3 linked regions of the Schizosaccharomyces pombe genome follow. Changing the gene in region 1 together with any one later gene gives a genetic interaction. Each region holds a gene or a part of one and is shown in the gene's direction. Other genes may lie near its edges.

The links.
Region 2: mutations in caf1 (region 1) and mug89 together harm fitness more than expected from each alone (negative genetic interaction), as found in Schizosaccharomyces pombe (one large-scale study listed by BioGRID).
Region 3: mutations in caf1 (region 1) and SPOM_SPBC1685.04 together harm fitness more than expected from each alone (negative genetic interaction), as found in Schizosaccharomyces pombe (one large-scale study listed by BioGRID).

What each region holds. Positions count from the first base shown.
Region 1 is NC_003421.2:1,959,069-1,969,176, reverse strand, and holds caf1 (CCR4-Not complex CAF1 family ribonuclease subunit 7/8), read left to right. Parts: upstream 1-2,322; 5' UTR 2,323-2,330; coding exon 2,331-3,338; 3' UTR 3,339-3,747; downstream 3,748-10,108. Other genes in the region: oligosaccharyltransferase complex zeta subunit Ost5, read left to right, coding at 1,832-1,874, 1,931-1,993, 2,144-2,322; ribosome biogenesis protein Rsa4, read left to right, coding at 4,403-4,606, 4,657-5,052, 5,111-5,407, 5,458-6,069; exocyst complex subunit Exo5-like, F-box protein Pof6, read right to left, coding at 6,379-6,649, 6,700-9,047. UniProt on the Schizosaccharomyces pombe protein: Acts as the catalytic component of the CCR4-NOT core complex, which in the nucleus seems to be a general transcription factor, and in the cytoplasm the major mRNA deadenylase involved in mRNA turnover.
Region 2 is NC_003423.3:303,415-314,817, reverse strand, and holds mug89 (phospholipid-translocating ATPase complex Lem3 family subunit), read left to right. Parts: upstream 1-8,120; 5' UTR 8,121-8,326; coding exon 8,327-9,517; 3' UTR 9,518-10,903; downstream 10,904-11,403. Other genes in the region: arg7 (argininosuccinate lyase), read right to left, coding at 136-1,521; SPOM_SPBC1773.13 (aromatic aminotransferase), read right to left, coding at 2,671-4,116; SPOM_SPBC1773.12 (transcription factor), read right to left, coding at 4,874-6,658; asparagine--tRNA (Asn) ligase Nrs1, read left to right, coding at 11,130-11,403.
Region 3 is NC_003423.3:500,504-510,956, forward strand, and holds SPOM_SPBC1685.04 (uncharacterized protein), read left to right. Parts: upstream 1-2,160; 5' UTR 2,161-2,369; coding exon 2,370-3,347; 3' UTR 3,348-3,690; downstream 3,691-10,453. Other genes in the region: vma9 (V-type ATPase V0 subunit e), read left to right, coding at 802-893, 1,182-1,232, 1,299-1,359; htr11 (serine protease), read left to right, coding at 5,420-8,413; poly(A) polymerase Cid11, read left to right, coding at 8,999-9,392, 9,439-10,453.

The sequences.
Region 1 (10,108 bases):
TCTGATCAACAATTGCTTGTCTTCACGACGCCAAGGTGAATACAAGAATCACAGATTTATTGAAAAACTTTTAATTTTTGTATTTAACCAAAATACACGAACCCTCGATTGGCCTATTTGGCGTGTAATTGGTATTGGGTAAGATCTGATCTTTCCAGTGCTATATGTATCTAATGATACTGAACACTAATAGTAACTCTTGAGACATACACTTTTCAACAAATATAAATATAAAAATGGTTTGTTTTCATGTCTTTTTAATATTACTAGTTTTTAAATCAACTTTTTCTGAATACTGTTTCATTAAATATGAATATTTTTACGACTAAATATTTGACGCACAATTATTTGAATGATTCATCAGGTAGGAATAACAAGTATGAAAAAGCCAGCTCCAAGCCTTAAAAATTTTTAAACTAAAATAATTTTCTAAAATGAGTACCGCTTTTTCTTAAAACTCTATAAACTTTGGAAGGTTACTCGAACCAAACTTGGATAAACATACGAAAGAAGAGATCCGTAAAAATGCAGGAATCGGAAAAGAACCCTAATTGTGTAGCAATTTTTATTAAATAATTTTTTTAATGTAAGAGCTGCATTGACAACTGCTTACAGTAAGGTTTAAATCAGTATTTGTCAAAGTCTTCGAGTAGCTTAAATTTTAGAAATATAATATTTGTTAATTTTTGAAGGAAATATTGAATTGGTTCAATAATCAAGGCTTTTTAACAGTTCCCTGTTAAATTAAATTAAATGTTGTTATTAAAATGTGGCCGAAAATTAAATTTGATTTAAACAAAAAAAAAATTTACGAGAATTTAGATTCATTTACCTAAAGTGTTAATGATTATATTTATTGCCTTCAAAATCCCTGCGTCGAAATAAATCCGGGCCAAGATGCATTAGGCTCATATTAATACTAACTGACAATAAAATATCAAAGTGTGAAGAAAAAATTTATAAATAGGTAGCGCGAAGGTGAAAAATCATACATTTGAACATCCATCAATATTAAGGAGAAAAGTAAATATAACAAATTTTAAGGGAAATTCTAGTGCTGGTAATTCAATGCAATACTACTACTGGAAAATAGAATAAGGAATTGAACGTCAAATGGCTTCTGTATAAATTTGTTAATGTCATATTTCCATATCTTTCAAGCGGCATTAAGCCATAAGGAAATCCAATTCTAATTGAATACAGTCAGAAAAAAGAACTCAAATACTCCTTTAAGATGTCTATTTAAACTGAAATACCTGCAAACAAGTAATTTAAAAGTTAGGGAAAAAACAAATTTAATTTTTAATAGGATTTTGTTAAAATTTAGTGGTACATGTATCCTCGTTTAAAATTAACCTTATTTAACATACAAAAAACGAATATGTTGCTTATTGAAGAATTCAAAGCTGGGCTTATAAAGTAAAGAATAAATTTTGAATTCCAAATACTGCAAATTTATTATGTTTTTAATAATACACATATTTTGAAAAGAAGATAGATCGTTGCTGAAGGAGCATGTCTTCCTCTTGCGATACTAACACTAACTAAAGACAGCCATGACTCAACAATTCTTTTGAGTTGTTTGAAGGGAAAAGTAAAATCTTTCAGTTATAATGTTGCCAAATAAGAGATCAAATCTTAATAATTTAGATGAGATTGCTTAAGTTTAGGCTCATCAATTCGATTGCTGACATTAAGATACAATTACAGAAAATAGTATTTTTGAAATCTCTCACTGAGGTCTGGACTTAGTACTTACTAAAGATAACATTTCAACACTCTACAAAGTGACTCATACTTTAGCTTTCTTGCTGCTACTCTCCCTTAATAAATGAGCTTGAACGAATTAATCGTTGCAGCTTTAAAATTATTCTGTCGACTTACTAATGGCATAAATTTACTTAAAAAAATATTTTTTAGATACGAGAAGTTTATAATAAAGAACAAAAGTCAGATTGCATATTTTTTTGCCAAGTTCAAATCGTTATCCAAAGTAGCTTGGTAAGCCGACAGAAAGTCTTTGATTTAATAAATATTCCAAACAAACATATGACAGTATTGTTCCATTAAAATAACTTTAGTTTCACTTGTAGGTTAGTTAATACCTAACTTAATAGTTGACCCTTCTATGACTAACTTTTAGTTTCATCATCAATGTTTTCTCTTGTGATTAGAAGAATTCATATAAGGAAATTGTGGTATATTACAGTATTCACAATTAACGCATCTATGTTCAGCGGATTCTTCAACAATCCAAGTCTACTTACACCAAACGAAAACCTACTTTTCCAGGTTGGTTTACATTATAGCTTTGCTGTTTAAAAAACGTAATGACAGCGATGAATTCGAATTTTTCTTATCCTGCATTAGGAGTGGATGGAATCAGCTCCCAAATATCACCAATTCGGGACGTTTGGTCCACGAATTTGCAACAAGAGATGAATCTTATAATGAGTCTAATAGAAAGGTATCCAGTTGTTTCTATGGATACAGAATTTCCAGGAGTAGTTGCTAGACCTCTTGGCGTCTTTAAAAGTAGTGATGACTACCACTATCAAACTTTACGGGCAAACGTAGATTCATTAAAAATCATTCAAATTGGGCTTGCTTTAAGTGACGAGGAAGGAAATGCCCCTGTCGAGGCATGTACATGGCAATTTAATTTTACATTCAATCTACAAGACGATATGTACGCTCCGGAAAGCATAGAGTTACTCACAAAAAGTGGCATTGACTTTAAGAAACATCAAGAGGTTGGCATAGAGCCTGCAGATTTTGCAGAGCTCCTCATTGGTAGTGGATTAGTTTTGCAAGAGGAGGTCACGTGGATAACGTTTCATAGTGGATATGACTTTGCCTATTTATTAAAAGCCATGACACAAATCCCTTTACCCGCTGAATATGAGGAGTTTTATAAAATTCTTTGTATTTATTTTCCGAAAAATTACGACATAAAATACATAATGAAATCTGTGTTGAACAACTCTAAAGGTCTTCAAGACATTGCTGACGATTTACAAATACATCGTATAGGACCCCAACATCAGGCTGGAAGTGATGCCTTGCTAACCGCGAGAATATTTTTCGAAATAAGGTCGAGGTATTTTGATGGTTCCATTGATTCCAGGATGCTCAACCAGCTATACGGTTTAGGCTCAACCGGTAGCGTTTTATGGCACAACAATTCATCTACCCCACAGATTCAATTCAGAGATCTTCCAGGTGCCCATCCTAGTCCTACTCCATCTAATGCTGGGATTCCCACCACTTTAACGAATACTTCTTCGGCACCTAATTTCGCCAATTCAACATTCAGATTTCCTCCTCGTGTAGTTTAGATCACGAGCTAGTTGAAAACATACCGTTAAAAAATTGAAGTCCTTGAAAGTACTTTCGGGATGCTTGTATTTTAACTTAATATATTCTCGTTTTCTCACGTATACCCTTGCTTGAACTTGTTTACTCGATATGCTTTTCTAGATTTTTTCCATAAAATCTATACTTTGGATTTTTATATGTTTTTCTTTTTATTTAAGAGATTGGTTGGAGTTTCCCGCTAATTCAGCATAAAAGTTTTTGTATCCACTCATTTTCGTGAGGAGCATTTTCCTTCTATTTTGTTGCGATGATTTACTTTAAAATTATTCATCTTCATTCCCAGCGAAATGAACTCTCTTGCATCTGGAAGCAAAAAAAGCCTTTCATCGGGTTTTGTATTAATAGATAATATAGTCCATTTCCTTCATATACTGATAATGTATCCGTGTATTTGTAATTCGTAATAGCTTAGCATCCAACCCAGCATCAACGGTGCAAACCGGCGTAGATTTCAAGTCTGATGTTTATCATCGGTCAACTCCAATGCTTCCCCAAAACAGCTCTATGTGCATGTTGTAACAAATCTTCATGCAAGCATCAACTTTAGTTAGTAAAGCTTTTTTTTTTTTGATAGGTGCTTTATCCTGTGATTTAAAATATTACAATCTCAAAACTATTATTTTAGTTTTTAGCTTTTATTTTATCACTAAGGTTCCCAAGCCAATGAACAAAATATCACCTACCTCGTCGTCCCAACCATTTCTTGAGATACTGAAAATTTTCAATAATTCTTCTAGTTAATTTGATCAAGCATAAAAGAATTACCTAAAATTTATTTTATAAAAACTCTAAGATCTTGTTTCTCTTGTTCGACATGCAGAAACTAATTTTTTATAACCTCGCTTAAATCTAGCTTAATTAGCTATAATTGTTTTTCTATTCGCTGAAGATCGTTGTTAAAATTATCGCGATGCATCATTGGCGCGATAAAATTTATCTGATCACAGCTCTTTTAAGAATACTAAGTGTAAGTATTTTTCATTACTACCACTACCAAATCCTTCCTTTTTTAAATCCTTCTAAAATGGCGACTTTACTGCCTCCTAAAAGTAAACGTCAAAAAAAGGAGAGCTTAAATCCTACTACTATAGAAATTCCTGAAAAATTCCCGCTCGTTAACGTTCAGTTTCGGGCGTCAGATGATAGCAATGAACTGGCATCACTTTTAGTTCCTGGAAATAGTTCTGTTAGGCAATTGGAAGCCTTGTTGAACCAATTATTAGAGAATGTAAGAATGAAAGTTTTTTTTCTGTAAATGTGCTAACATAATCCTCACAGTCCGACGATCCTGTTCCGTATAATTTTGCTCTTCATCATGAAGATGAAACTATCGAAATTCAAGATAATTTATACACTTCTGTATTTCACAATGGACTTATGAAAACTGAGGATCACTTAACGTTACTCTACACTCCTCAAGCTGTATTTCGTGTCCGTGCTGTTACTCGTTGTACTGCATCAATGAATGGCCATGATGGTACCATTATATCTGCCCAATTTTCGCCTAGCACAAGCTCGAGGCTAGTTACTGGAAGTGGAGATTTCACGGCAAGGCTCTGGGATTGTGATACGCAAACCCCTATTGCAACCATGAAGGGTCACACTAACTGGGTGTCTTGCGTCGCTTGGGCCCCTGATGCCTCTATCATAGCTACAGGAAGCATGGATAATACGGTGAGTAACTTTTTGATGGATTTATGATTTTTTTGTCGCAAGTCACTAATATTTTTAGATTCGTTTCTGGGATCCCAAAAAGGGGAGCCCTATAGGTGATGCTCTACGACGCCATACGAAACCTATTATGGCACTATGTTGGCAACCTTTGCATCTTGCTCCTGACAGTGGCCCCTATTTACTAGCTTCTGGATCAAAAGACAATACAGTTCGTATTTGGAATGTCAAATTAAGGACGTTGCTTTTTACTCTCTCGGGTCATACCGCGCCAATTACTTGTGTCCGTTGGGGCGGTCAAAACTGGATTTATTCCTCCTCATATGATAAAACCATACGGATTTGGGATGCTAAAGATGTAAGTGAAGGAAATTGTACTTAGGGATTATTTACTTACTAATTTTGAAGGGAAAATGCTTGCATATTCTAAAAGGTCATGCCGCTCGTGTGAACCATCTCTCCTTGTCCACCGAGCATGTCTTGCGTTCGGGTGCATATGATCATACTGATTTTAAACCAAAAAGCTTTTCTGATGAGCGTCGTAAGGCCAAAGAGCGTTATGAGGCTTGTTTAAAACAGTCAGGAGAGAGATTGGTTTCTGCCAGTGATGATTTGCAATTAATATTATGGGATCCACAGAAATCAACGAAGCCCATCACAAAAATGCATGGACATCAAAAGGTAGTAAACCATGCTTCATTTTCTCCTGATGGACGGTGTATTGCTACAGCTAGTTTCGATAGCTCAGTTAGGCTATGGGATGGAAAAACCGGTAAATTCCTTGCAACTTTGCGTGGTCATGTTGCTGCGGTTTATCAATGTGCCTGGTCTACAGATTCACGATTGTTGGTCAGTTCTTCTCAAGATACGACGCTAAAGGTGTGGGATGTACGATCCAAAAAGATGAAGTTTGATTTACCAGGTCATGAAGATCAAGTCTTTGCGGTGGATTGGTCTCCGGATGGACAGCGTGTCGCTTCTGGAGGCGCTGATAAAGCAGTCCGTATATGGTCACACTGATATTTACGCTTTCGGTAGCATAGTTGTTGTTAAAAAATTTAGAACTAATTTCAGGAATTTGGTTTTCTTTTACGGTTTAGGTTAATAAAATGGTTTTGGCTTTTATCCTTAATAACTACTGCATTTATGATTTATTATGACATTAAAATTGATTGACTTTTAGAGGATATTATAATAGACACAAACCTAAAAAAGGTCCAAAAAACGAATTTGTTAAACAAACATTATAGCCTAAAGCAGAAAGCAAGATGCATTTTTAAAGTGTATGGTAATAACAAAAAAAGGATATGAACAAAAAATAAAAAATATTTACATTATACAGCATGCCAGTCCATGGATTACTTTATCTACTTCGTATTTGATGTTTAACCAGTCAATACGACTGTGAAGGATTTCGTAAACCTCTTCGGTATGAAATGCGCTAGAAAATCGAGAAGTATCGGTAGCCAGTTTTCCAATCTCTTCGGCGTTTTTTCCATCAATAATAAATAAATGGGCAATTTCCTTCAATGTCTTAAAATATGGTAAAAGGCTGCTTTGATGAAGAGAGTGAATGAATTCATAATACAAATTACAATCGCTAAAATGAGTCAGTTTTATAATTCTTAAACATAAGGAATAAAATCTCACCTGAGTAACTTTAGCCCGCCATCGACACTGAATTTATGAGATTTTATGTAACGTGTTAAGGAATCGAAAAGTCTCATTCCGACTTCCTTATAAAAAACATCAAGGATTTCATGATCGGCCCTTCCAACTAGAATACGCATGTGGAAACCTAAAAATTGAACCACATTTTTGGCAGCAGCTGTAGGCTCTATAGTATTCGTTATGGAACCTATAGTTTGGTCACTAAATAAATTCATTGGTGTTTTAGTTTCCAGCAAAAAATCGGCATGCTCAATTAGAACATTAATGCCTTTGTGTAATCCGAAAGCTGCCCGTTCATCCAAAAGCTGCTCGAATTTTTTTTTTTCTGCAATTGCAGGGTCAAACATATCATCTTTCACACATATAGGACTCATTTCTTCGTTAAAAAAGCTATCCATCATCTGCTGAATCATATCACCAACATTGATAAGCTCCAAAAATTTCACCACTGGCTCTACAGTATTACTAGAAAAGTCGCGTCGAGGATCAAAAGAAGAGAGATGCTCGATTGCTCGATCAAACCCATGCTTTAAGTGGCCTTGACCTAACTCCCGCAGAAGCTGAACGAATAAGTCCTTCGAAAGCCCTTTAATATCATCATCTTGAGGAACCGAGGTACCCATAAATACTTTAGCACGAGCTAAACTAACTTTGCAAAGATGGACGATTTTCAAAGCTAATTCCAAACTAAACATGGTGCTGATACCTTCAAGTTTTGAGTCCAATACAGCAGCTTGCGCGGCTAATTCGGTAGTAGGGAGATGTTTCAATCGGTCCTTAGAAACATATATATTCGCAGGAACAAATCGGGCAGCATCCAACTTTGAAAGTTCTGGATCTTCTTCTTCTTTCTGCTCTATCGCTTTCTCAGCCAAATTAGATGCACTATTGTTTTCTGACGGTATTGTAAAAAGAGAGACTGGAAGCAGCATTACGTTTTTAAAGGTTTCCAAAAAATTATTTTTGGCAGTATTCTGGCTGACATTTTTGTAAAAAAAGCATTCTGTAGCGTCTTCTTTTTCTTCCAGCTTTTGGTCCCACTGATCAACCAGCGACCAGCCAACAGTTTTAAAGTAATGTAACTCCTGAGAAATGAAAATATCAATTTGCGGTTGAAAAATTGTATCCACTAAAGCCGGTCCATTAGGAATCGAAAAAAACTTCTTGCATAGGCCATAAAATCCAGAAATAAAAACAAGGAACAATTCGGTCTCTTCTTCACCAATATGCTCGCATATTGATATTACATAGTCTTTTAGTGAATTTCCAAGAATGTCTTTAGCATAAGGAACCTGGACAAGCTCAGGCTCAGGTAAAGTAGCTTCAGAGAATTTGGATTCCGACTCTAAAAGCTTGATAGTGTCGTTAACAACAGACTCCAAGATGTTCCAATTAATGTGAATTTCTTCTAGATTATTGGAAATAAACAAACTATACGGATCAAAATGGAAGAAAGACCTAACAAAATCAGTTTGCTTTGCTAGATACATGCTCACGTATGCATTTGGACCACTAAAATCATGAAGAACATGAGAAAACTTACGAAGAAGATCAAGATTACGAGAATGAAGACCTAATTCAAATTCATCAAGACAAGCTTGCTCAAATAATGAAGCCATGTCAAGAATGGCATTTTGCATCGCCTGTCGATAAGTTCCATAGGGATAAGAATTTCCAAACCTAATTAAATACTTCAGAACTTTCGATTGCTCCTCTGGCGTCCGAAAAGCAGAAAATGCAATAGGGTCAATAGTATTGCTAGCATAAGCCAGATTTCGGTAGATAGGAGCCAATGCTCTCCAAACCTTTATGTAATCCAATCTTGCAAATTCAACTCTTTGACTCACACAATCCAAAACTGTCAAAACTACTTGCTTCCCTTGCACTGTTGAGTAATCAACAGGAAAAGGGATCTTTTGGTCGGGTAAGGAAAGAAGTGACGAGGAGGACAGCTTAGGCCGATCAGAGTCAGCATACTTTTTATCACTACTTTGTAAATGAAAGCCTTTGCTGGTGTTGGAAGACATATTTGCTTGAGACATCCCATCTTGACTTTCATAATAAAGCTTTCGAGAAAGTGTAACATCCCAAGCATTCATAAGAAGTAGTTTTTTCACATATATACTATTGTAATCACATAATTGTTGAAATTTTCTACAAACAAGGCGGCAATTACACAGATCTGGGGTAGAAATGAGCGTGAATATCTTTAAGTATATATTGATCGTGAGACATCCAAACAAAGCCTTAAACTGTTGTTTATGTCGCCTTTCTAGATACTCCTTAATCTTCCTTATGGCATGTTCACGAGCTTCCGAAGGCTTCATTCATGAAATCTATTTGGTTCTAGCGAACATGATATTATGATCACAGGTATTCCGCATACTTCATAAAATAGTGACGACTACAGTTACGATTAAAATTACATAACGATTTACAACGATGTTAACTTTTGGTAATGGTATGAAGTGCGTAAAACAAACTTAAAGAATATGGTAGACTACCGTAAGTTTGTCTTGGCGTATATACAGTTGTACAGATAACTCTTGGCGTTATATAACACTGCTCTCGTATATAACCATGATATTGCATAGTATTATAATAAATTATAGCTTATTTACTACTGAGTAATAAAGCTTCAATTGAATGGTTCTGCAGTGCATAAAATTACTGAAAGTTAAATAAAAAACTGTCAACATTCATTTCCAAATGATTTATCTTATTATAGCACAAATGATTATAGCGCGGTTTAGCATATGTTAATTGATATAATGAGTAATCTTAAAAAACTTTAGCCAACTTAGCAGTCTGCTGCGATACCATAAATTTTTATTAAGAGATTTTGCGTAGTAGGCAAATGAAATATAAATTAAATAAGATTCCATTCCACTATTCGTCCTTTTCTATGTTTAAACATAAACAAAAATAAATTACATGTAGAACATATTAGAGTTAGTAACTATATTAATTTACTCTTTGTAACTATCTAGCCACAAGACTGAACAAAACGCTATTCATGTACTTTCAAGGTTTTTTTTGAATGCCATTGAGAAACTAAAAACTGTTGGCTCAATTCAGAATTCCCTTCTTTTTTGTGATGATAAACAAAAAGAATGCAGAACTACTAAATTTCGATGCAGCTTTAAAGGTTCTACTAAATCGCGTATCAACAAGATTATCCTTTCCTTGAGAAATAGTATTTTTGTTTCAACATTTGACATAGATTATTTGTATTTTCAAATAAAAAAAAAGCTATAAACATCGCTTCACTTTAGTTCATACTTTATATTAAAAGTATCATATTCATTTATTTTGTATGCTACATCCCATAAAGTTAATTTAGAGATACAACAAATCCTATCCTCCCAAACCAAATCCTTTCATTAAG
Region 2 (11,403 bases), on another chromosome or scaffold:
TAATTGCGTTAATTAAATATGCATGAAGAACCCATTTTACTAAATGTACAAAAAAACTAACAGAGAGAAAAGGTATTTTATTTATAGACAATTATAGAAAACCTGTTTATTAAATTAAAAAGAAAGACATAGTTTTTAAAGAATTGCTGATCGTATATGCTCGATTTGTTCTTGAACACAATGCTTAGCAGTACCACCAATTGAACATCTTTTTTCAACACTTTCTTCGTAATTAAAGACTTTTGAAACGTCTTCATCAAATAAAGGATGCAATGATTGCAAATCAGAAACTGATAACTTGTCGAGAGTAGTGTTTCTCTCTTCAGCCATGCGAACTGCGGATCCCGAAATATGATGAGTTTGGCGAAATGGAAGACCTTTACGAACAAGATACTCAGCCAAATCGGTAGCTAGTAAATCGGGGGTCAAGCTTTCGGCAATCTTTGTAGGATTGATGGTAAGGGTTGAGACAACGCCAGTCAAAATTTGCAAAGAGTCAGAGACGGTCTTAAAGGCATCAAATAGTGGTTCCTTGTCTTCTTGCAAATCTTTGTTATAGGTTGTAGGTGTGCCTTTAACAGTTATCATGAGGCCAATCATATCACCTAAAACACGACCGCTCTTACCCCGAAGTAGCTCTAAAGAATCAGGGTTCTTTTTTTGGGGCATAATACTACTTCCCGTAGAATACGCATCGGAGAGTGTGACGAATCCAAATTCCGAGCTCGAATATATGATAAGATCTTCAGCAAAGCGAGAAATGTGAAGCATTACCATGCCTGCCCAAAACATAAATTCGATGACAAAATCACGATCACCAACAGCATTCATGGAATTCATGATAATGCCTTCGAATCCAAGCTCTTTACGAAGGAACTCGCGATCGACGTTGAAAGGGTTGCCAGCTAAAGCACCAGCACCCAGCGGTAATTGACTTACACGAGTATACAGCTGACGAAGTCTGCCAAGGTCACCTAATAAAGGCAAGGCGTGAGACATGAGAAAATGGGACCAACGAACAGGCTGAGCCCTTTGTAAATGCGTATAACCTGACATTATTACATCAATCTCCATCTCAGCTCTGTTGGTAAAAACTTTAAGCAAGTTAATGACATAGACTTCAACCTCTTTGATTTTTCTGCATAGCCATAAACGCAAATCGGTGGTAACTTGGTCATTACGACTTCTGCCAGTATGTAGCTTGCCAGCAACATCACCGATTATCTCAGTTAATCGGCGCTCGTTTGCTGTGTGAACATCTTCGTCGGATGGTTCCAAAACGAATTGACCCGAATTCCATTCTCTTTGAATTTGTTCCAATCCTTTTAGGATGCTATTCAGCTCTTCTTCAGATATCACATTTTTCTGGCACAAGGCTTTTGCGTACGCCATGGAACCAATAACATCTTCTTCGCACATTTCCTTTCCACTATAGATGGATTTGTTGAATTCTGCCATCAGTGGATCAGTAGCTCCTGAAAATCTACCTCCCCATAGTTTTTTGCTTGATTTTTCTGCCATAGTGCCAAGATGCTTTTATTCAATATTATTTTCAGTCTACAAATGATGGTCTAATTTTCCTTTACTTATATAATAGCGTGAAGAAATGACTTTTTCTTCTCAGATATTCGCACTTATCATTTTAGCTTTTTTCTCTAGTTTAGATAACACTATACGAATATGGGTCAAAATAACATCCGTGGATAGCAAGTACTCAACAATCAAGCTCTTATTGAAAGTTGATCCACTGCTAAATAGCAAGTTATTTTACCAAATACTAGATAGTTAGTTTGGAAAACGCTTTGCCAAATGATCAATAGAGTCGGAATTTTTGTAGACGAATACCGAAATTGAAATTAGCCACCTAGAAGTTGAGTTTCATATTTTTCTTTTCTTTTTCTTTACTTTACATAGCAAATTCAAGTATTCAACACCATTTTGATGAAATTTCTTCCAAAAGGCTGTTTCGAAGTGAGGTGTGGAAGCATCCACTTACAAAATCAAAAACAGATGTTCGCTAGCAATGAAATTCCCAGACACATGCCTAATTTTTACAATAATGAATAAATAATACATTCTTTATTGTTTAAAAAGTTAAGTCATCTCAAGTTAAGTTGCATATCTTTATTCAGAGCAAATTACTCTAATAATAGGGAACAAATTAAAGTAGAAAATTGAGTTGTAATATATTACCATTTCTCATTAGTTATGGAATTTTTCATAATACATTTGCACATTGTTGAAATAATTTATTATACGAGCTATGCATTTGAAAAACCTACTCGTGCTAACCAGCATTACTTTCGACACACTAATGAAAGAATTAGCTACATTAGGATCTTGAGCTGTTGTCAAAATGCTTAACGTAAATTTAAAAGAAATATTTCAACTTGGTCAGACTATTGACGATCTAAGTAAAAATGCAAACACTGATCACGAAGCACATAATATTTAAGTACAAATAGTAAAAATCACAGGGTCAGTTCCTCTTGACAAATTTTTAAACAGTGTTAAGTGCAAGGCCGGCATACTTTTTATAAACATATTTGTCTCAAAATCTGAAACCTTCCTAAAAGTGATTATTAAGTAGAACACAATTTAAAATAATCTGCACTTTCAAAATTCATATATTTCCAAGGAAACAATATTTCTTTGACTTTTATAGATGATTCAAGGGCAGATTCGTACTCTGCTTTCGACATTAAAATGCTCATTTATGACTGATGTAAATCGCTTAATTCCCTCCTCAAAGTCCTCAAAGTCAGCAATTGAATATGCGAAACGGAAAAAGATCTTAGTACTACGTTCTGGATTTGCCATAAAAAACTGACCACAAACAGTTTTTACACCTTTTTCTACAAGCGCTAGGAATATTTCCATTTCAATTTGGGAAACTGACTTTTTCGTATCCGAAAAGCGGTAATGATTTAAGTTTAACTCAACCCACAAGAATAATCCAGCTCTTGGTACGTGATAAATACAAACAGAATTTGGTAGATACTTGTTTGCTACATTAAGGAATGCGTTTCGACGAACAGTATAAGAATATTGCAGCTCCTGTAACCATGCACAAAAGCCCTCTTGACCCCAATTATGCAGCATTGCATACAATACAGATTGGCAAATACCAGACGGGCTTTCCGTGCATACTTCTGCAATCCGTGTAATATGATCAATAAACATTGAATTTCCAGTAATATAGCCAAGGCGGGTTCCTGGAGCAATCAGTTTAGAGAACGAATCAAGTCGCAAAACTCGACCTTCTGTGTCTAAACTTAGCAATGAAGGGACCAAACTCTTTAAAAACGTTGACCCATCACATTTTTGCTGTGCAGGGTTTAAACTTCCGTTATAATCTTCCATTTGTAGAAAATAGTATGGCTCATCTTCAACGATGATGATATCGTATTTCCTTGCTAATGCTAAAAGCTTTTTGCGCCGACTTAATGACAAAGTAGAACCAGTAGGATTTTGACCAGTAGGAACTGTGTACAAGACATGAGGTCTAGGTCCCAGAGATATATCCCAGTCTCTCATAATTTCTTCAAGACTTTCAGGAAGCATACCTTCCGAATCCATATCAACAGATACAAATTGAACACCTAGGGCTCGCATTGCGGTGATGGCAGCAGGATAAGTGTACTTTTCTGTCAAGACATGATCCCCATAATTGACTAGCAGTCGTAAACAATATTCCAAACCACTTGTATTACCATTACTCATCTTAATATCCCAGTTTTCGTATCGGGGAGCATGAATCCGCCGAATGTGTTCCTTTATAAATCCCACCAATTCAGAAATTCCTTGGCATTGGCCATACTGCAAGGACTGAGAGAAATTTAAAAGACCCTCAGAAGGATCAGCTTTTATGTTAAATGTTACATTAACCTCTTTGGCGTATGTCCCATTTTCCTCCTTAAAGCAACCAAGTTGAGGAAACTTGATAGAAAGCTCACGGATAGCAAACTTGTTAGGATGAGGTAAACCTGAGGAAAAAGATATAGCGTCAATCCCTGTACTACTTTTAATTCTTCCTAACATTTGAAAAGGGCCTTTCTCACGAGCCTTGCTTTCTCTCGACAAATGATGGCTAAAATCCTCACTATTCCGGATCATATTGTCAAAAATATGCGATAGACTCAAAAGAAAAATTGAAGTAGTGATATGACAAGGAAGCCTTTATAAACTTCTTTGGCCAGTTTAATCATTCATTGATTACTGTCATATTTCACTTTGGGCGGTGGGAAATCATGATCAATCCATGGATATGCACGTCTACTGACTACGGTCCCATTTGGATACAATAGGAACAGATATGAGCATTTTTTGAGATTTCCGATTTGGAGCAAATTCCGTTCCACGGGTCAACTATGGAGAGGTTAAAGAAACGAGACTTTAATTTTTGTCATCTTACTATGCCCCAGCCGTGGAAGTCGGAATGATGATCCACGGATCTAAGATAACTAGTGATCGTCTTTGAAGCAAAAGTGTTTAAATACAAGTATTGGAAAATGTTGACAAAAGTTTTTGATTACATTTGCAATCGATTAAAATGGTGATATGAAAAAAAAAAACACAGAGAATAGTGTGCGCCTTGAAATATTTCAATAAGGAATATATGAGCTTGGTTCATTTTCTTTTCAATATGAAACAAATAAAAGTTTTAATCTACCACTAATAAATAAATTGCTTCTGTTGTAAGCAAATACTCAATGGCTGCATATGCTGAATTTTTTTTATTGTTTACGTTGAAACAACTCTTTGTAGTTGGTTCATTTTTTTTAAAACCTTACTGAGTACATGCGAAAATCCTTTTGACGATTCTCGAAATGTAGAAAAGTAATATTTATAATAAGTATTCAAAGAAAGAAGATTACACCAACAAACTCTCCAGTTCAAAAATGTTGGAACCGACAGAAGATTTAAGTTCTAAATAATGTTCTGCAGCATCAATACAATCCAAAGCAACGCGAGATAATTTGTCAGCAAACTCTCCGTTAATCTCCTTCATTTCGACAAAAAACCGATAGAGTGAATACATTCGATCCAAGTCCTCGATTTTTTCATCACTGGTACCTTTTTCCATTTTTAGGATATTGGAAAAAAGGATTTGAAAAGGTGTAAAAGGACAATAGAGAAACAACCATAAGTAACAAATCTTTTTAAAAATTGGTTCAATAACCATGAAGTAGCTTCTTATGGCATCTGCAGCTTTCCGTGCAATTTCTAGGCATGTTTCATAATTTGTAAGAGGATCGTAAAAGTATAGTTGAGTAATACAATACGATAAGTAAATTTCAACACAAGCAGTAAATATATGTTGATTTTCGAAATCAACATTCTTTGGAATTGTCCCATTTAATTTAATAACATCGTAGTACTGTTTCAGCTCGTCTGGCAAGTTCCTTTCCCAAACAATCAGTTTTCCTCGAATGCTTAATACGGCTTCCTTATAGACCTCTTCACTTGCCGAAGCTAAACACTTGTATATTTTTTTCCTTATTTCGTTTTTAATAATGGTTAACTGGATTTCTGAACAAAATACTATACCACCTTGACTTGACTCTGTAAACCGAGGCAAAACATCCATGGATGGAAGTTGGCAATCAATTTCTAGATCACCCAATTCCGGCGGTGTTCCAAATATCAGAGAGGTAGTTGTTTCGAATATATAACATGTCCAAAAAACCCGTCTATTTAGCTCGTCAACTTCAATGTCGACATTAGGATTCGTAGCTTCTTTGTGAAGATCCAAATCCTTAACCATTAGGCACATTTGACCGCACAAAACTTTGCAAAGATTATATAAAGATAAATGTGCACAAAATTGTATCATAATTGTTAAAGCTTGGATTTTATCCAGGCGCGCTGTAAGAAAAAAGCCAGGTTTCTGGACCAAAAACCAACTTGTAGAGAAAAGCGATTTTGATATTTTTTCTTTATCTTTTCTTTTGCTACGGGACACCGCTAAAGCCATAATGGCATAGAAGGAGACAACCCAAGCACCTTTTGTTTTTTCTTTATCGGAATAAAAGTTATCAAAAAGGTCCATAAAATTTTCTAAATCAAATAAAGGCCAACATGAATTTATATAGCGAAAATACCACTCAACACACCGATTGGCCCATGCTTTTTCTGGTACATTGCGATATACACTAATCCATGTAGGGAAACTTTGAGGAAACAGATCATTCATGGTGTAATCCTTGGGATGAATTTGGAAAATCCCTGGATACCTTCTCATTTTTTCATCTATTAGAAAACCGCAGTTTTGAATTTGCTGTACAAGCGATGGTATCTCGTTCGACGTTTCTCTCTTTTCTGACAGATCGTAGTTGAGCAAATTTAGCATATCGTCAATCCGAGATTCCATATTAACAGATCTTTTGCTTAACGTTATAATATGATTTCTCAGTTCAATCATTTCGGTGTACTCTCGAGTAATACCAGCTGTTGACTTCTTTACAGGCGGCTGCCCGACGACGATATGTGGGTCATCCTTGTCTACGTTTGGCTTCTTTACTCTTTTTCTTTTATTATACTTGCACGTTTCTGAGTACACTACACAATTCTGGCATTTTGGCAATTCGCCGTTACACCGAAGTTTTCTTTGCCTGCACAAGTCGCAAGCTGTGCTAATTTTTTTTATTGGTACCATTGTTTGCACATTTAAAAACTTCCAACAACACAGTCTTTTAGGCGTTTTTTTGGAATATTAAATTTTTTTGAAACTACTCGTACAGGGCACCTTGCAATATATACAATTTTGGAATTTTGTGCCATTGATAGTAAACAATGATTATCGCCGATCGATTTTTTCGCTTAATTTCGAGTATATTTCAATGACGCGAGCGCCATGATAATAAATGAACATTCCTTAAATGGGACAGATAACAAAATAATCAATCCAATTTATGGGTGAGAGAATTGTTCCTTACTGCTTGGTATCAATTTCAACCTGCCGTTCTTCATGTGATCTTACAAAAATCCATTAGTAACATAGCTTCATCATTATAAATACCATGGTAAACAGCCAAAAAATGATAATAAACAAGTCTAATCAAAAAGAATAAATGTGAATATTAATATAATGAATAGGATCAAAAGATAATGTTAGGATTTGGAGCTGAAAGCAATGGGAAGCAAAACTTTTGAATGCTACCAAATTATTCCGAACAACTACTTAAATGAAAAAATCTTTAACAATTGCTTGATATCAAACAACTTTCATTTTAGCTCGGAAATTCATTTTTAAAGGCATGAAATAAATATTGGAAGGAGCCATAATCATTCACATTTTTTGTACGTTAATTAATAACACTATGTTTCAATGTCCAGGCTTACTTATGTTAATTTAAATAAATGTGTTGAATCCCAGTTAATTGCCTAATGAGATTTCGACTTTGAGGCATTATTTACTACCATCCGAGGTTTTCAATCAGGTAGTTAAAAAAACATAAAACAAACATCAAAAGAGGTATATGATAATTAGAGTTACATATACTGTATCATTAGATACGTTGTCTCGAAAAAATGAGCTTAGTGTGGCACCAATCTTTTTTTCTTTTCTTGCAATTTACTAGACTCCACGCAGGTGGTCATTTTCAAATACTGTTTGTTTCTTTAGCTGGGCAATTTTTACCGGTAAAGTGCGCACATTTTCCTATCCAGCTCGTAAATATATTTCAAGCATTTTACTTCTCCTCTTTTGTTAACCACAGAGAATAGATAATTAATACACTTTCTTTTCTTATCTCTACAGAATCAAGTCGATCAGGTATACATTTTTACGACGAATCACTTTGAATATTATTTGTAGCAGAAAAACCATCGTCTATAAAATTTTGAAACTTCCTTTAATTGAACATCATAATTTTATAGTCCCGAAATATAACTACTATACATTAACCAACAAATGTTCTTCCCTATTTTTAAAGAAGGTATTTATAATAGCTCTTCCTTTTAAAGATGACTGCTTCACTGGCTTTGTATAGAATTTTTTTTTAAATTTGAATAGCGAAATGTACCATATTCGCAATGTCAATTATAGCACTATTAGGAATACGGAGTAATTATTTAACGCAATTTTGTATATGTACGTTGCAGATTATGTGTTTACTAAATGCCAAACGTAGAAAAATCCGTGGCTTTCAAATATCCTCTTTTTTAATCCATTATAGGCTGTTTTATTGCCTTTTGACCTATTTTAAAACAAAAAATCAATAATTTTCATCTAGAAACCACCAAAATATTACTTTTAAATTGTTTTTAATCACTTTAACGGGCTCGCTTTTAAAAAGCGATCAATTCAAGACCTTTGAGAATTATGCCGGAAGCATTAAATGAAAATGTTTCAGACACTGCATCAAATGGGCCTGTAGCAAAAACTAGAGCACCTCCTAATACTTCCTTTCGCCAACAAAGGATCAAGTCTTGGCAGCCATTGTTAACCCCTAAAATCGTGCTTCCACTTTTTTTTGTGTTAGGAATTATATTTGGTCCATTAGGAGGAGGATTACTTTATGCTAGCTCTATCGTACAAGAGCTAGTTGTTGATTATACGGATTGTGAGACTCTGGCTTCTTACGATGAATTCTCTGCCGTCCCTTCCAAAAAGTACACAGCTTCATTTGATCAATCAGGAACTATTGGATTTGACAAAGAATCAACCTACTGGAAACTGGAGAAAATTCTCGATAAAGATCTAGATATGGACGTTAACTACTGCATCATAAGATTCACAGTCCCATCTGTTTTAAAGGCGCCTATTTTCATATATTACCGTTTGACAAATTTTTTTCAAAATCATCGACGGTATGCTAAAAGTGTAGATGAAAAACAACTACAGGGAGTGGCTTTAACTGCTGACGAAGTTAAAGGAGGCAATTGTTTTCCTTTGGAAGTTAACGAAGATGACAAACCATATTATCCATGTGGTTTGATTGCAAATTCTCTTTTCAATGACACTTTTTCGTCACTGAGACTGCTGGATGATAATAGTGTTTACACTTTTTCTACCAAAAATATAGCTTGGGCTTCAGATAAAAGACGATTTTTGAAGACAAACTACAGTCCTGATGATGTTGCACCTCCTCCCAATTGGGTTTTGCGTTATCCTGATGGTTATACTGAATCAAACATGCCAGATTTGTCAACTATGGAAAATTTACAGGTTTGGATGCGTACAGCTGGTCTGCCTACTTTCAGTAAGTTGGCTATGCGGAACGATAACGACGATATTTTTCCAGGAACATACGAAATAAAAATTGGGTTGTTTTTTCCTGTTAAGAGCTTTGACGGTACCAAATCTCTGGTTCTTACGACGAGATCGGTGCTTGGAGGAAAGAATCCATTCCTTGGAATAGCTTACATTGTTGTCAGTGCTGTTTGTGTTGTGTTAGGTACCGTTTTTACATTAAGGCATTTTATCCGTCCAAGAAAGCTTGCCGATCATCGTTATTTAAATTGGGATTCTGAAGAAAATAATTTAGCACCCCATTTGAGTGATCGTCCTTAGGTTTGTCGCGATTGCCGACTATTTACAACTCTGGGTTGTAATTGCAAAATTAGTTTCCTCATAGTAGAAGGAGTTTTCTCTGTCTTCTTTTTTTTTCTACGCCTTCCGTTGTCTTTAGATTTCTTTTATTTATCAAAGGGTAGAACTATGTTGTTTTAGGTTTGATGATTACGATTGCTAATTCTGACATTCATATTACATCTTTTTGCTATACTCAATTTCATTAAAATATGACTTTTGAGGTATTTTGATGGACCCCTAATTTTCTTCATTACTGGCTTTTCAAAGGTAGTATGTGTTTTATATTTTGCTACTCAAATTAGTTTATTGTAACACACTAAATTTATCATTCAAAAGATCTTTGGAATGCCTTTACATGTACCATTCGTTTACATTTCATTCTTTTACGCTTTTCTCTTTAGTCTCATGAAACTGAGATACGGATTTTTTTTATCAATTAATAATTCGCATTATTAGCAGAATTTGTTACTGAAGTGTGCTAGCAGGTCATAACTGCTATTCTTTAGGATAAAATTGTTATGCGTGCTTACTTTGGAAACTCTATACCTGTTAATGATACTTTGGTTTAACATACTGATGAAAATATTACGCTGTTTGTAACAATCATAAATTTTTGCATTTTTCTTTTATACTAAACCGCTATTTGCTTTCCTCTGCTGCTCCATTTCTTGTCGTTCAAACCGTTTAAAGCCGTTGTTGACTATGACATTTGTATAATTAAAATTAAAAGCGTTGTAAAAAGGAAATGCTGGTGCGTAAAAGAATGCACTTGTGTATTGAAGTGTTGTGATTTGAGGACAGTCTACAATAGGTATGGCGATAAAAGTAAAGTAAATATCACTACTACCTGAATTTTGCAAGCTTATTGATATACGTGAATTGAACATTTATACCATGCCATACTGTATCATGTCAACAGGTCTAATTGGAATACTACGAAAAAAAATCATCTCTCGATATACAAAAGTCAGCACATGCTTGGCTGTATAGCGAGAACAAAAACAGAAAAAGACGATTTTGGTTATTCCTACAGACTATGCTAGCAATTAACTTATGGAGAAGTGTGTTCTTTAACCTTGCCCTACATGTAAAATATCCACTTGTAATTTAAAAAGATATTTCACAAAGTAAATTTTTCTTTTGACAATATTACAACCTTAGCTAATTTACTTTTTTTCTACCCATTGGATTTACTAATTTAAGAACGTGAGAAGCCATAAGTCAATATGGAATGAAGCAATATCTTATTGACAAGAAGTTTTCGTAGTTAACTTATTTGAGGAGTCTATTGAATACACACTGGGTTGACAATTAATTGCTCTATGTCAAATCGACTGGGGAATTAGCAATAACCATACTAATGTGATACAATGAAATGTAAATTTACAATTAAATAAAAGTACTTAATATTTCAAATATTAGCAACTAGCCGAAATTTTGGAATCATTAGCCAAAAAAAAAATTAACGCGCTTTAGCAAATGTTCTGGGTTGTAGATTTGCAGATAAGACACTCTAACGAGACTATAAGTTATCCAAGGCCGGTTATTTGATATTTAACATTTTCACTAACTTCAAACTGTCCTTTTAAAAATGGCGGGATTGGAATCAAAAGTTTCTGATATGAAAATAAAATCAGACGTTGTTTTTTATATAGACGAAGCTTCCGGTAATGATGAAACTGGCAACGGAAGTCAAACATCACCATTTAAAACTGCAATCCATGCTTTGGAAACTGATGCCAACTGTACGATCTTTGTCAAAAAAAATGGCAGTGAAGAGTTTGAGCCTATAACCACCAACGCTTTAAAGAAGGCGAAAAAGGGAGTTGAACAAGCCGCTAAGAAAAAGGCTAAGGCAGCTGAAG
Region 3 (10,453 bases), on another chromosome or scaffold:
TTAGGAAAAAATAGATGACATTTACTACTGGTGAAATTATTTATTTTTCAATTCTTTTTATTATTTTGCATTTTTGCAATGTAAAAATATTATAATATTACACAAAAGGATATAACTATGAAGCTACACAAAGCATTTTATGTTCATCGCTTCTACGGCGCAGGTAATCAGACGAATTTTAAAAGTGTAATTGGTGATTTAAAAAGTTTATGTTATGAAAAGAAAGTTAAGTACAATAAGAAAGCATTAAGCATGTGGATGTAATTATTGGATGTGTTAGTTTACTCTCTGCATAAGTGCTCGGTGGTTTTATAAACTAGTGAGAAGAATGATTTCCGAGTACTACTTGAAGTTAAGAAAATAATTAATACAATCTCTTTTGAAACTAACCAGTCCATAATAGTATTCAAAGAATCTGGAAAGTACAGAATTTTTGGGAGCCTGACACTGATGCGTTATAGTAAACACGGTAATGTAAATTTGTTAAATATTTAGTTTAACGTAATGGATTGAGGGTTACCATAAATAGAATTCATAAGAAAAAATGGAGGAAGGGTGTCTTTATGATGTCCGCTAGCATTAAAGAGCATTTTTTTATTCAAGGATCGTATTCATATAACTGGAAGGCTATGTTAAGCATTTTTTTAATGCCTTTGTATGATTATTGTTACCTGATTTATGTTTACGTTATCTATGCGTGGTGTCACTAATTTGCAGTATATGTTCATGTGAGACGCACATTCGATAATTTACCATTAACGTGCAAGTTACATTTATTGAAAGTAGGTAATTTGCATTCTAATGGGTGGTCTCGTTGTTTTACTTGTCGGCCTTTTGACGGCCTTAATGAGTGTAGTTTCTTACTATGTCTCGCCCAAGGGAAATAATACTAGGTAAGAAGTTTGCTACTGATTGGAGTGAATCATCTATATATCGAGGTATAGCAATTATGTTCCCATTTAAAGTCTTGTGTTATGATCAGTAGCTTGTTTTTACTTCGTTTCATTTTCGTTTAGAGATATGGAAAAGTATATGTGATTGTCTTTCTTGCAACCAATCAAGGTAGCGCTGTTTAGGCCTTGTCTTCAGCTGCACATGGACAATCTGGAATTGGGATCAGTTGCTTGTATTATATTTTCATACTCCTTCCTTTAACAAAAGTTTTATTAACTCTCAATTAGTACTTGGCAGATGTCATTAATTCTTACTTTTTCTTGTTGCTATTTATTATGGTTAGTGCATTTGTGGTGTTCTTATGCATCCATATTGTTTTTCTTTTTTACTAACATCGTTCTTAGGGCAATTACTTATTTAGCACAGTTGCATCCATTAGAGGCTCCATCTCGAGTTCTTGAGTAATGAAGTTTAGTATAATCATAGTGATTTTTAATGTTTGTACATTCTTCCTCTTTTATTTTACTTATCGTTTAGACTGCAAGCTTTCCAATTAGAATCTACTTTTGAACCTTTTCCTCTTCCTATTTTTTGATACTATTCGTTTCTGATCGTCGGGCTCAACTTTCTAGTCTCTAAAATCCTATTGGTGTTTGTCGATTATTATTACAAATCAAACACGTTTGAGTATTTCTTATTTTTATAATCCATATCTTTAAACGTTTCTTATTTTAATATATATATGGAGTCAGTTAAGTCATGGCTGGAACCTGGCGTTATTTAAAGGTCGGTTCACGTGGATTTCAACATTGCATTTAATCTTTGCGAAAGGATATACCTTCATTATTTCTTTTCTTTGATTTTACTAGATTTATTGGTCTCCCCGTCTTTTGGTTGTCGCTTTTTCTTTTACTCGGATGTGTGTATGAAAGGCGACGTATATTTACGTTATCAAAAGCCTTGCTACAAATATACTGAATCATATAGAAATACAATAAAAAATTGAAATAATAGACACAACAGGATATTCAAAAGTTTTTTTGGTGCCAAAAACTCTAAGATGTTGTAAGTTTAGTTTAATATTTGGACTGAAGTTCATGATAGTAGTGGCGCTCCTAATACGCAATTTTAGTTGACTAAAAAAAATATTTGAGATAGAGAAAGTCTGAATTGTTATTAAAGGTCTACTGGCTTCATAAACACAAGTTCGCGACTATTCAACATTGTTCCACTATAGCACATAGACATTTGCACACACTGATAGTTAAGAAATACATTTTACAGTGTGATTTTGAACGGATTGGTTTCTTGAAAAGATAGGAAGACTGAAAAAATAAAGATTCGTATATAAAAAAAGCGAAAAACTTACACTAGTGATGTTGAATGCGATATAATTTTCTGTTATGAAGAAAAAAGGGTTGAACTTACCAAATTTACGCATTTACTAGATTTTTCGTGTATTATACCTTTTTAAAATGAAACAAGAATATATTCCGCTAGACGAATTCCCAAACAAGTCTAATGAAGGGATGCTGAATGATGAAGGTACCTCTTCTTCTGGCTTATCGACAAGAACGCGTAGCTTAGAGCTTTTTGACAATATGGAAGAAAGTGGCTCCTTTCCAAAAGTGGAAAGGAAAATACAATCGCTTTTGGATGAGCTGGCTGAAGTGTTGTTTCAATCTAAACAGCCCAACGACTTGACCAGGATTCGAAAAGCCATCGCTGAGCAGTTGCAGTTATGGTGTCAAGCTTGTCAAGAAAACGCTGATTTATATAGGAGCCAGCAAAGGAAATTGAAGAGCCGTTGGGACTCGCAGACAGACATTTTATCCCAAATTGAATCGACCAAAGCAAGTCTGGCAGAGGTGCACAAAGCGGAAGAAATATCGAATCTAAAGACAAGCATTACACATTTAGATGAGGAAATTCAAATTTTGCAGGAAAAGTTGGCGATTGTAACGAACCAACGAAACACCCTTGTAAAACGACTCCAGACTTATGATAATCTAGAAAAGAAAAAGGCACTCAGTATGGAAGATCGCCTTTTAACTCTGCAGGAGCAGTATGATGCACATGCTAATGTATCTTCCCTTGAAAAACGGATGGAAGTATTGAAGAAAAGAGAAGATCTTTTGCGACTAATGGTCGGGCAAGCACTTCCAGGAATGCAATTCTTCCAACGTTTGATCCATCAAATCCAAGCTGTCGAAACAAAACTAATCTCAATACTGGGGCCTACTTCTTTATCAGAAGCTGCTTTGCCTCCATTAACTGACGTTCAGCGCACTAGTGTATTATCACTCTTGACCTCGACTCTTCACTCTTTGGAGTCGGCGAGACAGATTGCTGACTCCAATACATGGAAGCCAATCATTGTTTGTTTAGAGCTCGAAATTGTATATTTTGAGAATATGCTTACTGCGATAACCTCGACTCCCGTTTCTTCCTAATAATTTAATTTTCATTCCGTATACTATCAATACAACCTTCTAATATTAAAATATGGTCATTCAATGGCACAATGCATTCCTTGGCGTGTTGACCGACAGCCTTACTACTTTTACCCTGCACGGCTTCAAGATACCTGTTAATTGTGGAGAAATATATATTTCATACATGATTTTACCTCCAGATTTTCAGCCTCATCTAGCACCACATCGTTAAAATCGTATATAATATTTATTTCAGCTGTATTTTCGGCATGATATTTATTTAATAACACCAACTTTGATCATCTTTGATTTGTCTTCTCAAACTCTCTTCTACACAACAAATGACAAAATGTTAAAGTAATGCGAGTCGAGTTCATTAGTGATTCAATTCAAATATGCTATTGAATGCCTATTTCCATACTTAAACTGTCAATCTCCTACCCAAATCAAACACTGTCATAATAAACATCCCTGAATCTAAAGCTACCTTAATAATCTTTGTTTTGTCTTGTTCAACCATCAACCTACTACAAACGAAACAGTTTTCAAAAAGTAACACCATTTTAGTTTTCAAACAATTCTACGCTAATACCACGTACATTCACTTTCGGTTCACATAACCGATTCTGTCAAACATCCTCAGAATGTCGTTTTCCATTTCGAACCCATTCTTTCAGTTTTCCATTTCCATTCAATACGACACAGTCGTATGAAGATGGATTCTAGCTTATTTGCAAAATGTCACGGAACCAAGAAATCCGATTTTGAACAAACGACATTGCGGCTCCTTGTTCGTCGCAATCCTCCGTTTGAGTGAAATTCATCGAAATCACTTCTAAAGCTACGCTGTCTTATTTTTGCCGCACTCGGACTTTGACATCACTCTTAAAAATCATCGAGCAATAGAATTGTTGATCAAACGGCTTGCCACGCACTTTGTCTGCTGGTGGTATGAGACGCTAGTGAAGTTAACTATTACAGCAAACATCGTTCACCTACATATATATTGAATTGAAAGCCCGCGTTGCCGATGGGCAAAACGAATGAAACAAGAATCTTCCAATAGCGAAATTTAGACATCATATCGCAAATATTACTTTTAACTGCGTAGTTTAAAATTCAGGATCGAGCTTATCTGCAAAAGAAAAGAAAGGGAGATCATTGTTCTACGCTTATTATCATAGCATTCCCCGATTGCTACTGACCTTATCAAAACTATTCTTGCAAATCCCATTCTCTTTTCGCTTCGTTTTTGTCCATACAGTGGAGTTTGGGAATTTTTAAAATCTTTTCGTTTTTTTTACGGCTTACAAGATTTAAAATTTCTCATTCATACACTTGATTACTTATTTTATTGTTTCGTTTTTGTGTGTGTATTTTGTTTCTACTTGTCGTTACTCCTGTCATTTTCGTTTGATTAATTAAAAAAAAAGATATAAAGGCTAATCTTTTCTTATCTCTGAATTGGAAAGGATTTCTGCAAACTATTCAAGCCACCGTCTGCAATTATTATCGTTATCTTGCCATTGGTGTGTCAGTAAAGTGAAGCAGATTGTCAAAATATTTGATTTACTAAATATATTATAACTGTTTCAGGTAAATTATCTTATTGCTTGAGTAGTCAAATTAAGGATACTGAGATTTCTATATAGGAATTCCTTCATATATCCATCTGATAGCCATTGCGCAATTGATTTGTAATTCCTTGCAAACAGACATTGTTGTATGTTTGTATAACTGAAAACAGATCTTTGTCGCTATATAGTGTTCTCCATTTATCCTACAAAAAAGGCTTACAAGTGTCAGTACTTGATTGACTTTTCGAGTTTTATTTGGCCTTGATAATTAGTATTTCGCGGCTCGTTTAGAACTTTGCTTGTGTTGCCCAAAAGTTATTATAAACTTTCATTTGTTATTTAAATTCGTTTATTCTTCCAATTAAAGCTTGTCCAGTTTACAAAGCAAAGCCTGTTAAACACTATCGAGATTCAAAAGTATACCTAGTGTTCAACCGCTTTTTCTTTGTGTTTGTTATAAATTTCTGTATCTTGTGCTTTTGTTTACATTCTTGTCGGTTTCTACCTTTCATCATGACTCCAGTTTCCTCCGATTATCGGCCTAATCACATTTTCCTACCCAAATTTCGTCCTGATAAAATTACTTCTGAATGTAATACGCCCCAGCAACAGAATGTTATTGCTGAAGGTTTATACAATGTTAGCGAACCATTTCCCATTCGCAATACAGATGAAGAACGTTATCTAGATACCAAAGAGATTCACCATACATGGGATAATACGATTAAAAATGTTGTTCGAAGTATCGTTTCCATTAAAGGCTCCGCATTACGCTCTTTTGATACTGAAAGCGCCGGTAGTTTTTGCGCAACTGGCTTTGTCGTGAATAAAACACTTGGTCTTATCTTATCCAACAGACACGTTGTTTCTCCAGGACCCATTTCAGCTCGTGCCTCTTTCATAAACTATGAAGAAATTGATATTTATCCCATCTACAGAGATCCTGTTCATGACTTTGGCTTCTTTCGTTATGATCCATCTTCCATTCGATTCCACGATGTCACTGAAATTTCACTTTCCCCTGAATCAGCCAAGGTAGGTATAGATATTCGAATTATTGGTAACGATGCTGGTGAAAAATTGTCTATTTTAAGCTCCACTTTGGCTCGTCTTGATCGTCCAGCTCCAAACTACGGAATTGACAACTACAACGATTTTAATACATTTTATTATCAGGCAGCTAGTGGAACTAGTGGAGGCAGCTCTGGCAGTCCTGTTCTTGACATCTCTGGTGCCGCCGTTGCTTTAAACTCGGGAGGATCCAACAGCAGTGCCTCTTCTTTTTATCTTCCTCTGGACCGGGTTGTTCGAGCTTTGCGATGTATTGAGAACAATACTCCTATTACTCGTGGTACTCTTCTTACCGAGTTTTTACATTGGTCATACGACGAACTCAGTCGCATTGGCCTTCCAAGGGAATTTGAATACGATTGTAGAACCCGTGTTCCTAGTAGTACTGGTCTTTTGGTTGTTTCGCGAGTTCTCAGAAATTCTGAAGTCTCTAAGGCTTTGGAACCTGGCGATATATTAATTGCTTTCAAAACAGACTCTCATAAGTCTACATACATTGTTGATTTTGTCTCTTTATTCGAAGTTTTAGATGAAATGGTCGGTAAAACGATTGAGCTGCATGTTTATCGTCCTAAACGTGGTTTTTTAACGTTTCAACTGACTGTACAAGACTTGCATAACGTAACGCCTTCACGCTTCTTGGAAGTCGGAGGCGCGGTGCTTCACGATTTGTCTTATCAGCTTGCTCGTTCATACCAATTTTCTTTAAATTCTGGTACATATGTGGCTTCTTCTGGTATGCTCAATTGGTCCTCTGGAACCCGCGATTTTTTAGTTACCAGACTTGCCAATAAACCCACTCCAACTTTGGATGCTTTCATTGATGTTTTGGTCCAGTTGACGGATAATGCCAGAGTGCCTATGCACTTTAGAGTCCTTGGTAAATATGAAGAAGAATTCACGATAGTGACAGTTGATAGACACTTTTTCCTGGCTAGCATCTTTTCAAGGAATGATGAAAAAGGGACATGGGACAGACAAAGTCTCCCTCCTCCTCAGCCGTCTATTTCTCGCCGACCTAGTGTAATTCCGAGACCACAAGAGGGATCCAAAAGTATGGAAGCGATTCAAAATGCATTGGTTCTGGTTCATTGTCGAATGCCATATAGCATCAACGGATTCAGCTCTACTAAGCTATACAGTGGTACCGGAGTAATTGTTTCTGTAGTGCCACCATTAATAGTTGTCGATCGTTCTGTTATACCTGTTGATATTTGCGATATTCGCTTGACCTTCCAGTCGATGAGCGCCATGGGTCATTTAACTTTTTTGGACAATAGAATTGCTGTAGTCTCGTGCGATTACTTGCCCAGTAACTCTGTGCAACTTAACTTCGTCGCTGATTTCCTGCGGACAGGAGATGAATGCACGCTGGCTGCTCTCGACGAAGATTTGCAATTGCTGACAAAGAAAACAACAGTGCGAAGTGTATCTGTTGTTGAAACAGAACGCTCTTCTCCACCTAGATTCCGGTACGTAAATTGCGAAGTCATTTCTTTAATGGATTCCTTAGCTTCTACTGGAGGTTTAGTGTTTCGAGAAGTAGGCGACGATCGCGAAATAGTAGCACTCTGGATATCTGTTGTTCACCAAGATGTTGGTGGAAAAGACTATACCACTAAATATGGTCTTTCAATGTCTTACATTCTTCCCGTTCTCGAAAGGCTTAAGTTACCACCGTCAGCTCGTGCGCAGCATGTGCCAACAACAGCTGGGGTGGAATGGTCACATATCACTTTGGCAGGTGCTTCTACACTTGGATTATCCCAAACCAGATCGTCTGAATTTTATATGAAATCCAGAGAAAACGGTACCATCCCTCGACCTTTATATGTGATTTCTCATTTGCGCCCACTACTTCACAAAACGTCTCTTGGAGTCGGTGATATTCTGTTGGAGGTTAATGGAAAGATGATTACTCGTCTATCGGACCTTCATGAGTTTGAAACCGAGAGTGAAATAAAGGCGGTCATCCTTCGCGATGGAATTGAAATGGAAATAACAATTCCCTTGTATCCCGAATATCCCACTTTTAGTTCTCGTGCAATTTGCTGGATGGGTGCTATCATTCACCCAACGCATTCAAGCGTTTTCGAGCAAGTTGAGCCTGATGTTGATCTTCCTGGACCTGAAGGGGTTTACGTCGGCAGCATATTATATGGCTCGCCAGCTTTGAATATGCTTCGTGCAGCGCATTGGATAGTTGCAGTAGATGGTCACGATATTAACACTTTTGACGATTTCTACCATATGTTGTTAGAGAAGCCTACTGATACTTTTGTTCAGGTTAAGCAAATGAACCGTCGTGGTGCTACTAGTATAGTCAGTGTTCGACCAGATCCCTTATTTTGGCCTACTTGTATCATTGAAAGAGATTCTAATGGTAGATGGTGCACTAAACATTTACAGCGTAAGACCAAAGAAGTTTGTTCTTAAAATTCCTTATGTCCCTTTGTTTGTATCATATCGATTTGCTATTATATGCCTGTTATGTTTCATGAATGTTAACGTATATTAACTGTTCTTCAAGAACTAGTTGAAGAAATGAAATTTTTCTTTTTAAATTTTGTTTTTAGACCAAAACTTACGTAGCTCTGCACTTTTGAAAAGTATATTTATCTATGTTTTATTACTCTAGTAAAGTATTATGAGGATTTATTTTAAGCTGGAGCTGATTATTTGAACTTGGAGCGGTTCACTTGGTTGCTATAATAAATTGAAATGTAGATTCACATACCATTATTTGCAAATTCGGCTTAGGTTATTAGGCGTTAATAAATCATCATTTAATATTTTTTAAGTTAATATTTTTATTTAGGAGGCTTAACTTACTATAAATAACTATATTTGTTTATGAGCATAAAGTTGGTCATGTAAACAAAGGGCTCATTTGTTTATACTTTATGTGATGAGGAATATATTCCAAGCACACAACTCTACACACTTTAATTTTTGCACAATAGCATTGATGCTCAATTATTTTTAAAACCACCTACAGAGGTTATCAGAATTTTGGATAATATGGAGTTATTGACATTTACTTGTTGCCCTTTTGAAGGACAAATGCAACAAAAAAAAAGACGTTTTGATGCTAATCTAGTACAACTACAAGAATCTGAACATAGAAATGACCAAATAAATGAAACAGTGGATGCTGAACTGACTAACGAGTGCTGGAAATTATATATGCGACTAAAACCTTCTAATGAAGAAGTATCCAGGCGTCAACAATTTGTTGACAAGCTGCGCACTATTTTAAGTACCGAAATTAAAGATGCTAAATTGGATCTCTTTGTATTCGGATCCACTGAGAACAATTTGGCTATACAACAGTCGGACGTTGATGTGTGCATTATCACCAATGGTAGCAAATACTTAAACTCAACATGTCAATTGGCTCAATTACTTTACTCTTGTAAGTTATCAGTATGTCTATTTTAATTAAGCTAACCAGGAAACAGATGGCATGAAACAAATTGTCTGCGTTTCAAGAGCACGAGTCCCTATAGTTAAAATTTGGGATCCACAGTTTGACATACACTGTGACTTAAATATTAATAACGACGTGGCAAAGATTAATACTAAGATGCTTCGTCTCTTTGTCTCAATCGACCCGCGAGTACGGCCACTAGGATTAATTATCAAGTATTGGGCAAAGCAAAGGGCCCTATGTGATGCTGCAGGCAGCGGAACAATTACATCTTATACAATTTCTTGTATGCTGGTAAATTTTTTGCAAACGAGAAATCCCCCAATCCTACCTGCAATGCTCGATTTAATGAGTAATGATGATAATAAAATGTTTGTTGATGACATTGTCGGGTTCAAGGAGAAAGCAACTCTCAACAAAACATCTTTAGGGAGACTTTTAATAGATTTTTTTTACTACTATGGATTTTCGTTTAATTATCTGGACTCAGTGGTATCTGTGAGATCGGGAACTGTACTGAACAAACAGGAAAAAGGTTGGGCCATGGAGGTGAACAATTCTTTATGTGTCGAAGAGCCTTTCAATACTGCTCGAAACCTTGCAAATACTGCTGACAATCCTAGCGTCAAAGGACTTCAGAGTGAATTTCAGCGGGCATTTCGACTTATGAGTGAGAATAATGCATGCGAAAGGTTGTGTAAAATATGCGAAGAATATCAATTCCTAGATATTACCAATGAGGCAAATTATGGGAACACGAATACTCCTTTCAATACCGCCTATGAATCATTTGGTTGCAATCATACTGTTTTACCTGAAGCTGCTGCATATCCAAAACCTTATTATCCTCCTCAAATTACCCTATCCGATGGAGGAAATATGAACTTTCTCTACTACATACCGGATGAAAGTAACCATCAAAGCTATGAAAACAAAGCGAACAGAGATTCGGACTTCCAGGGCCAGACCTCGTTGACACAAGGTTCAGCTCCTCCATGGCACTATATTCCATGTCAATCCTGGTTAGTATGGTACCCATCTGAAGA